Linked DNA regions of Saccharomyces cerevisiae S288C. The gene in region 2 interacts genetically with the main gene of each other region. Each region holds a gene or a part of one and is shown on either strand. Other genes may lie near its edges.

Evidence for each region.
Region 1: of SIP5 (region 2) and CUR1, changing one suppresses a phenotype caused by changing the other (phenotypic suppression), as found in Saccharomyces cerevisiae (one study listed by BioGRID).
Region 3: of SIP5 (region 2) and RTN1, changing one suppresses a phenotype caused by changing the other (phenotypic suppression), as found in Saccharomyces cerevisiae (one study listed by BioGRID).

The regions. Positions count from the first base shown.
Region 1 is NC_001148.4:841,678-844,595, reverse strand, and holds CUR1 (Cur1p), read right to left. Parts: upstream 1,335-2,918; coding exon 576-1,334; downstream 1-575. Other genes in the region: TDA6 (Tda6p), read right to left, coding at 1,927-2,918.
Region 2 is NC_001145.3:545,697-549,719, reverse strand, and holds SIP5 (Sip5p), read right to left. Parts: upstream 2,007-4,023; coding exon 537-2,006; downstream 1-536. Other genes in the region: serine/threonine protein kinase RIM11, read right to left, coding at 2,483-3,595; Arf family GTPase CIN4, read right to left, coding at 3,990-4,023. UniProt on the Saccharomyces cerevisiae protein: May negatively regulate the SNF1 kinase by promoting the interaction of the REG1/GLC7 phosphatase complex with the kinase. Deletion of SIP5 promotes resistance to artemisinin, which is probably an indirect effect of an action on the electron transport chain.
Region 3 is NC_001136.10:928,895-932,135, forward strand, and holds RTN1 (Rtn1p), read right to left. Parts: upstream 1,464-3,241; coding exon 576-1,463; downstream 1-575. Other genes in the region: HEM1 (5-aminolevulinate synthase), read left to right, coding at 1-204; homoaconitate hydratase LYS4, read left to right, coding at 2,235-3,241.

The DNA of each region.
Region 1 (2,918 bases), on a different chromosome or scaffold from region 2:
CCTCATTCCGTTTTATATGTTTATATTCATTGATCCTATTACATTATCAATCCTTGCGTTTCAGCTTCCTCTAACATCGATGACAGCTTCTCATAACTTATGTCATCATCTTAACACCGTATATGATAATATATTGATAATATAACTATTAGTTGATAGACGATAGTGGATTTTTATTCCAACAATTTCTTTACCTGATATTATAACCTTTATCAGTGGTGGATTCCCAACAATTATATGACTATACGCCTTTTCTTACTTAAAAATTTAGAGGAGTACCTTCAGATAATGCTGAGGAACATACCCCTTGTTGATACTGGTATGAACATTCTTAAGACGGGTTCAAACGCGCTATTAGCGATGCGCTAATTTTTTTTAGAATTCAAGCGCCCAAGAGAAGGGACAATGGAATTTTTTGAAATGCATAATAATACTTCATATTTGCTACTAAATTTATCAAGTTTGATATCTATAATTGTAGAATTAGAATATGTAATATTTTGTGATAGAGTAGAAAGCCTTACAGGGTGACACTCAATTTGAAGACACACGGTAAATTCCGTAGCCCGTATTTCTTACCGCCCATTCAATCTTCTAGATACTTCCTTTTTGATGATACTTTCTTGATTACTTCGACTAATATTAAAAGCTCTTATCTCCTGCTCTATGTCATTCAATTCTTCTATCTGATTGTGAGATGTTGAAACCCTATTAACGGCGCTATCATTCTGTAAGCCATTGCCATTGAAAGGTACTTCAATCCACATAACGCCATAAATCTTATCAAAACTGTCTGCAGACATGCTTGTTCCACAAATTTTAAAGTTGTCATCAATTATGTTATTGAAGGAGAATTCCCTGTAAAAGTGATCATTGGCACTAGATATAATAATACCGTTTGTCAAGCGTGATAATTCTAGGTGATAGTCGTCGAATAATATTTCGATCGCCTCTATATCAATATTGTTGGGGTCCAGTTTCTCCATAATCTCAGAAGTTAGCCTATTTTCGTCGACACTCTGTTCCACATAAATTTGATTACCGTCTTTGTCTGATATCAGTTCATAAGATGGTATGTATACTTTTTCCCAAATCCTCGATAACTTTTGTTTGACAATTTCTGCAATGAGTTGGCATGTGATTTCTTTATGGAGAGAAATTATGTAAGACTGGTTTACCTTTCGTACAGAAAAGTGTGGTTGGCATTTATTCTCTCGAAGGGGTGGACGTAGTTGCGGCTGTTGTATTTTTCTTTTCTTGCGGATCATATCCAGTGGTCCATCAGATACATTAATCTCAAGAAGATTAGGTTGACAAATGCATGCGGCAGCCATTAGTCAGTTTTCTGTTTTACGACCAGTCCTATCGAGTTCGGTGCGTTGAGGAAACAAGGGATGGAGTAGTCTTATTGTAGCTTATGAAGGAAATTTTCATTTTTACAAAAATAGAAAGTTGGAAAAAAAAAAAGGCTATAAGATATATCGCAATTATTTTTCCCTTTCTCTTTTGAGTAGGAAAGTTCCCTTTTTTCTATGGAGTTCTCTCGCGTTCTTCTGGGAAATGATTTTTTTTTCCACTGCTTTTGAGAAGTGTGGCGCTATCAATTGCAGAAGGAAAGAGCAAGACATCAGGGACTGATGAACAAGACCAGAAATAAGGGTCTATTTGAATTGAACGTCATATTTGGTTCCTGTGCTTCTAGCCAAATTGCTTTTTTATCATATTTTGTGCTTGTGTGTTTATTTAGATTTAGTTGCGATCAAGTGTAGAAACACATTAAAAACTATGTTGAAAAACATAAAAAGTATTTGCAGATCATTAAACATTAGAATTAACTATTTATCATTAACTATTATATTAGATATTACTAAAGATTAAAATTTGTCATTATATTACAATCAGAACATTCTGTTGTCATAAAGTTCTTCAATTGGTGAAAAATTCCATAAGAGAACAGAGTATACCTCTCCACATTAGAAATCTTAGAATTCCTCTCAGCCATTTTGGTCTGATTCTATAGAGTAGGACACCACAATTATCACCCATAAGATCAGTGCTCTCAGAGTCCAAGCCTTCTGCTTTTTTTATCAATCTTCTTGCGGGGCAGCCACCATTCCAGAAATTCCACTTTTTCACACCGCCGCATAGATTCAATCTATCCAATTTCTTAAACAGGGGGCCACGAGGACCTCCGATATACTTCCATTGAGCTACGCACCATTTCTGTCTTGGATCTCTAGCTGGTAGTTGTTGATCACCCCATCCACCTTGAAAATGCAACCAATCCAAACCGAGAGATTCTTCTCTCTCTGAGGAGGGTGTCACAGTTTTACCATCAAAAGTATAGGAGTAAAAGTTCAAAGATGGATCCCACAGGGGACCACGATCGGTAAAATCACTCAAAGGCATGAAAAAAAAAGGAATGTCATGAGCATGCTGCCCAGCGGATGCATAATTAGCATGCGTGCCTCTAGCACTAAAAATCAACGGTCTTTCCAGTATAGTATCCCCACCATCGTCACTATCTTGCTGTTTTCTTTTCCGTAGTTTCTTAAATTTCTCAACAGCTTCGTATCTGTAGCCTGTTCCACTGGAATGCGCACTCATCCAAAGATATTTTGGAATACCTTTATAAAACCGAACCAAAGAGTGTTCCCAGTCACCGACGTGATTGCCCCAGGGTCCATGGCCCATAATAAAAGGGCCATGATTGAATGGGTAGAAGAAAAACCAGAACGCATCAACCCACCCGTTCCCCTTGTCGACTACGATCAGAATAGCAGGCGCCTTAGAGTTGTAGCCTGTTCCGTATTCGGGTAGATGACCGAGCAACCATTTAGGGTCCTTGTCGAAATCGTCCAAACTGGTTAAAAATACCTCGCTACTGGGGATATGCGTTTCCGTTTTGTTGCCAAATA
Region 2 (4,023 bases):
GAACATTGCAAGCATATAAATAGAGAAAAGAACTCCTACTACAGTTTGAGTGGTCGAACGGAAGGTCGTTTTTAACAGTCTCTCATCTATAAAGACTGTACGCATATTTGGAACTAACTGCTTAATTATGTGAACGCTTCTCTGATATCCATCGTCTATGTGCTTCTATCCATAAAAAGGCGAGAAAAGAGAGAATGACATTGCTCAGTGGCGGATGCGGGATGGGAATCTTATATTAGTTACTACTAAAATTCAAATGCAAATTTGAGGTGAAATACTTGAACTCTCAATTCTTGAGGACGAACAAAACAAAAACTTTCTAGAGCGGGAAGAGCTTGCAATACAATTAACTGTAAAACTTCTCTCTCTTCACAATAAATGTGACGATATTTCCGGATCATTTTGTTTAAAGCCAAAAGGAAGGTCAGGTTGGTGACGCTCCGTTAGATATAGATGGAACAAAAGAAAAATAGTGCACTTCTGGAACGTTTGAAAAAGGATTTTTTTAATATTGTAAAAAATGTCAAACTGTGATGCTATGGTCTCAAAGAGGTGTTTCTATTCTTTGATTTTTTTCGGTTGTCCTGATCTTCAAGGCTTAACCTAATAGCCTCTCTAACCATTTGATCTTCAAGTTCGTTTATTGTCGGTTCAGGAGATCTTGAAGCTGACGTACTTTCATCATGAATAGGGGTTATACTGTGACTTGTATTTCTCCTTCTGCTATGGCTTGGATCGATCAACCTATTACTTATATGTATAGCGGTGGCATTCGCGGATCTCCTCATCAACCTTGCCCTTTCTTTGTTCAATTTAATCTCCCAATCAGGACGAATGGTATCCGAAGTAATGGCTGATATGTTTGGCTGACCGCCATCAGCTCTTGATATGGCGGCGTCCTTATACACGTATGAGTCGGCTGGCATACCCCCTATACCAGTTTCACGATTTGTGGGTGGTTGATAAGTGATGCTAAAACTAGCAGTTGCACAGTAGGGGCAATTTGCTGGCTCAGAGGTAAGAAGATTTGGGTCCTTTTCACTGTCATTAGTTTGTGGTTCAGTTGGGTCTACTTCGTCATGAGGGAAGTGAGGATCAGCTCTCTTAATCTGTACAAAACACTCGGTACAAATAGGCTGTTGACAACATTTGGAATAGTTGAAAGGCCCTGGAAAGTATAAAAAACAAATAGGGCATTCCGACCCATTTTTGTAAAGAGTATACTTCAAATCGTCACTTGGTAAATGGTAATTTTTCCTTGGCTGGCTACTGGTATTATCTTCAACATTGCTGGACTTGCTGCCAATTCTTTTCATTTCCAATTTCCTCTCCAAAAACGTCTCATTTTCATTTTCTTGCCATAAAATTCTTTTCTTATACAATCTTGCTCTAAAAATCTTTGCGTGCATTCTTCTCTGTTCCTTCTTGGATAAAGATTTGTCTATTAATTCATTAAATGTTGACTTCCTTAAATTGCCTATCGGTACGTCTTCGAATTCTTCCAAATTTTCATCGAACGTGTCATGCAAGGGCAATCCGTCAACAATTTTTATCAACTCATCTCTAGTCCAACTTTCATCAAAATCCTGCAAAGGAGTGTAAAACGGCGCTAACTTTCTTTTGATTATTAAATTTTTAACGACAGTAGCATCATAGTCCAACTTTTCAAAAGAATAACAGCCAAATGGGGCCAAAAACCCCCCATCTACAGTTTCGCTACACCTCACAACCAATTGTTTAGCATGTGCCTCTTTAGCAAGCTCTTTTTCCCGTGACGTCTTTCTTCTACTAGTGCTGGATAGATGAGAACCAGTTTTTGTACGAGCATTATTCCCATTTAAAATATTATTGACCAAAGACGTCGTGCGTCTCGTTCTCACCCTTGAAGAGGCTTCTTCATCATATTGTTTGATGACAGAATTCGATGATGTAGTATTATATGAGGAATCTGGCCTGACATCATTAAAACTATCTTCCTGGTCTATTTTCCCTGGAACATTACCCATGGTTTGTTTGCTACTCTGGGTTCGGTTTATACTAGCTAGATTATTTGGTTCTAAGGTGCTTCTTCGTTTACTAAAACACCCACTACATCAGCTCGATGATGAACCTTCACTTGCCCCTTTATACTCTAAAAACCTTGTCGACCCATTTAAGGAAGTTGTTACCCGGTTAAAGTAAAGGTGTCATTAAAATAGTTTCGTACTGGCAAAGAATACGGCTTTTATACATAATTCGAAGTGAAATGGCATAAAAAAGTTACAATTTATTTTGGCTTTACCTTATTTTTTTCATAATTTGTATTCATTATAACAGTAATGATAACATAATACTGTTACTACTAATAATGATAAGAATATGATGGTAATACAAAAACAATACTCATAATAATAACAGTAATAATAGTACTAAAAAAAGACATACGTATATATGTTCCTTCCTTCTCCCATTATTCTTGCCTGGGCTCCCTCCGGTGCTATCATTACTTAGACTTCGGATATAGCTTTTTTTTTACAGATGATAGTTCATCGGGAGATAGATGGCCCAATTCGACATTTTCATCGAACTCTAGCAATTTTAAATCAGTTGTTATTTGATTTATTTTACCGTCATCAAGTTTTAGTTCATCAAAATATGGACTACACAGGCATTGTAGAGCATTAAATCTTTCTAGTGGATCATATTTCAAAACGTCAGCTAGAAATTCCACAGTTTGATCATCTTCTTTCTTGAAAACACGTGACAATGGTATTGGTTTAATTTGCGGGAACTTATGCTCCATATAATTGGGATTCATAGAGCAAATTTCTTGCTTTGATGGAGTACCTAAGATTTTAATGATTTCCACTAGTTGATCAATACCACTTTCTCCAGGGAACATTGGTTGGCCCAATAGCAGTTCCGCCATTACGCAGCCAGAGGACCATATGTCGATTTGGTTGGTATAATTTGTTGCGCCGAAGATTAGCTCTGGTGCTCTATAGTACCGTGAACAAATATAGGAAACGTTAGGTTCAGTAGGTTTCAATTGCTTTGCACTGCCGAAATCGCACAGTTTTAAGGACCAGGTCTCAGGATCTACTAATAAATTTTGAGGCTTAATGTCTCTATGACAGACGTTCGCGAAATGATGGAGGTAATTCAATGACTTGAACAATTGAAACATGTAGTACTTTATTTCCAATCTTGACATCGGCGTACGTTGATGGACGAAATGACGTAACCTCTGGTACAAAGATTGTGGCATGTATTCTAGTATCAAATTTAAATAAATCTCATCTTGGGAGTCCCTTTCATAGAAAAAGTACTTCAGATCTATTATATTTATGTGACTCAGCATTTTCATTATTTCCAGCTCTCTGTTCTTGAATCGTTTATCTTGCAGGACTTTCTTAATAGCAACTTTTTCATTAGTTTCTTGAATAACAGTGGCAAATACCACACCAAACGAACCATGCCCAACTACTTCGGTGGTAGGGAAAGATATCTGCACCGGATCATTCGGGTCTATCGTAGGTGGAGGATGGGCGTAGTAAACCTGTTTTGACACTATGTTATTACTGAGATTCGGAGAATTATTGCTTTGAATATTCATCCTGCGCGAGTTCTAGCGTTGCGTGATTAGTGTTGCCGTGTTGTAATGTAATGCTATGTCAAGATCTTGCCCAGTAATGTGTGAATCAGACGTCGGTGGTTGGCTATTCTGGAAAAAAAGGTGTTAAAATGCAATGCGCCAGAAAGAAAAGGAAATAAGACAATGGCAACGACCGATTGGAAATAATCTGCTGGTCTTCCTACCACTCCTTCTTGTGTAAGATCTTCAATGGACCCGTGCTTTGTAACCCGCAAGCCTTACAGAACCCCTTGGTAGTATTATTATCCGGAGTGAGCAGAAGCCACGAATGCGCACAGTCGGCGGGTAATGAACTATCACGCTATAAATACTGACATTATTTAAAGTTTTTATATGGTGCTCACATCTTAGACGATTATTGGGTAAAATGGCAGGATTCCACCAGACGG
Region 3 (3,241 bases), on a different chromosome or scaffold from region 2:
GATGTGTTCAATGAGCTACAGTTACCACGTGTCAGAGACTGGGAAAGCCAAGGTGGCTTATTGGGTGTTGGAGAGAGCGGATTTGTGGAAGAGTCTAACTTATGGACATCAAGCCAACTATCTTTAACTAATGACGACTTGAACCCTAATGTTAGAGACCCCATCGTTAAACAACTAGAGGTTTCTAGTGGTATCAAGCAGTAAAACAACCAATATATGCATGGGCTGAGATAGAGGTACAAGGAATTTGTAAATCAGTAAAAAAAAAAATTAACAGTTTTTTTTTTTCATTTTTTTTTTTTATTCTTATTTATGTATGATACTTTATTATTATTTCTCTTAATTATTTATTTATTTAACTAACACGATGAGCACTTTTAACTGCAATGGTTAAACTGTAGCAATGTTGGTAAAAAAGCAGGGAAAGTTCAAAAATAATTTATGTATTTTTCCTCGGGGGTACAGAAAGTAAAGAGAGAGAAACGTATGAGTATATATAGGCTAATGTAATATGTAGTGGTAAATAAAGAGACAAAAGTTAGCTATTCTTGTTTGAAATGAAAAAAAAAAAGCACTCAAGCGTTGTTTTTTTCCAATTCATTTTGCAAGTTTTTTGTACTTTTCTTCAATTCATTAGACAATTCATCGACGTTAAATTCTTGGGTAGTGGAAGGTTCGTGTTGTGGAACTTCTGGCATAACTTGAGCTGAAGATGTGTAAGCCTTAGACTCTGGTTCCAATGGAACATCAGCGGCCAACTTAGAAGTGCTGGCGGTTTGAGGACCGGCAGTAGAAGACACAGGAGCAGTCTTAGATTTGACCAAGTTGGAAATTGGGCCCAATTTAGATTCAACCTTGTCCAAGTATGGTTTTGTCTTTTCGCAAGCCATTTGAGAAAACTCTTGGGTCTTTTGCTTAGAAATTTCTACACCTTGAGCGACAGTAGCATCAATTTCATGCTTGTAGGAATGGTAGATAACTGGCAAAGTGAAGGTAAAAATGTCAGCAACAAAGACGATGGTCCAGATAGAGAACCAGGAGAAGAATTTGTGTAGTAGAAATAAGGCAACAGCGGTCTTGAAAGTGTGCTTAGGGACTTGAGCGAATACAGTCTTTCTTATGTGGGCTTGGAAGACTGGTAGCTGTTTCAAAGCTTCATCGATATGAGGCTTAATAAAGCCGGCGATATTTGGACATTCTTTAGGACCATACTTGGTGATTAAACCTTGTCCCAAAAAGAGCTTGGATACGAATTCAATAGATCCTGTTGTGAATAAGATAGTGTAGGCAACCTTCAAAAAGAAAGTGATCAAGTTAACTTTTTTCAAAATTAACAAGGCTAACAGAGACCCACCGAAATATTTACCGGTTTGAACAGGGTTCCTCCATAATAGCAAATCGCAATTACAGCTTTTTTGTTGTTGTTGTTGTTGGGCTTGGCTATGTTGAGCTGAGGCGGACATATTTGCGTGTGTGAATATATATTATATATATATACGCTTGCGGGTAGGAAGAAACAATTAAATATTTGGCTTGAGAGTTGAAAAGAAAGAGATCAAGAAAAGGGAATTGTTGAATAAAAATTTGAAAAATGCGAAGTTGAAGTGCCATAGAAGAGAAACAGCCCACACAGGGGAGAAGCCCACTGGAAAGGGGGCACTGACCAACTTTAAATAGGAAACAGAAGATACCACAAGCCAGCGATACAACAGCACCAAACACCGAAAAGAATAGCCAAAGCTGTCCTCTGGTGTTGGAAAAACTGGAAAAAACGCAACTGCGTTGGCTGCTACGGTGAAAAATTTTCCTATGACTTTTTTCACTGCTTGTTCGTGCGAAATTACCGCAAACCCGGTAAAATGTACACGTATCAAGTGATAAACAATTTCGTGTCAAGTGAGCAGAATGGAGCGATTTGGAAAAAAAAAATTTTTATTGTTTTTTCCCCCGGGATTTTGCTCGAGATGACTGAAATTTTGTAATCGATGAGTCTATACCAGAGGCAGCAAATATCACCAACATACACAGGTATACACAATCTCATGTCCACACACACGTACAGACACGCACATATATATATATATATATATATCCCCATAGGTATTTATATATACAAAAGAATCCTCGTGTGTTTGTGTGTGCAATAGCTAGTTTTGCGCTGCCTCTTATAGTAGACAATATCACTTTTTCAATAAAATAGAACTTGCAAGGAAACAAAATTGTATCGCTTCAAGATGCTACGATCAACCACATTTACTCGTTCGTTCCACAGTTCTAGGGCCTGGTTGAAAGGTCAGAACCTAACTGAAAAAATTGTTCAGTCGTATGCGGTCAACCTTCCCGAGGGTAAAGTTGTGCATTCTGGTGACTATGTATCGATCAAGCCGGCACACTGTATGTCCCACGATAATTCGTGGCCTGTAGCTTTGAAATTCATGGGGCTTGGCGCTACCAAGATCAAGAATCCTTCACAGATTGTGACCACTCTGGACCACGATATTCAGAACAAATCAGAGAAAAATTTGACCAAGTACAAGAACATCGAAAATTTTGCTAAGAAACACCATATAGACCACTACCCTGCCGGTAGAGGTATTGGTCATCAAATTATGATTGAGGAGGGCTATGCTTTCCCCTTGAACATGACTGTCGCATCTGACTCGCATTCAAACACCTACGGTGGTCTGGGGTCGCTGGGCACTCCAATAGTGAGAACAGACGCTGCAGCCATATGGGCCACGGGACAGACGTGGTGGCAGATCCCACCAGTGGCTCAGGTTGAGTTGAAAGGTCAATTGCCTCAGGGTGTTTCCGGAAAAGATATCATTGTCGCATTATGTGGGCTTTTCAACAATGATCAAGTTCTAAATCACGCCATTGAATTCACGGGTGACTCTTTGAATGCATTGCCTATCGATCACAGACTCACTATTGCTAACATGACCACCGAGTGGGGGGCTCTTTCTGGTTTGTTCCCCGTGGACAAAACTTTGATCGACTGGTATAAAAACCGTTTGCAAAAGCTGGGCACCAATAATCATCCAAGGATTAATCCAAAGACTATCCGCGCACTAGAAGAAAAGGCGAAGATTCCGAAAGCAGACAAGGATGCACATTATGCCAAGAAACTGATCATCGATCTAGCCACGCTAACTCACTACGTCTCAGGTCCAAATAGTGTTAAGGTCTCCAACACCGTGCAAGATCTATCTCAACAAGACATCAAGATAAATAAAGCTTA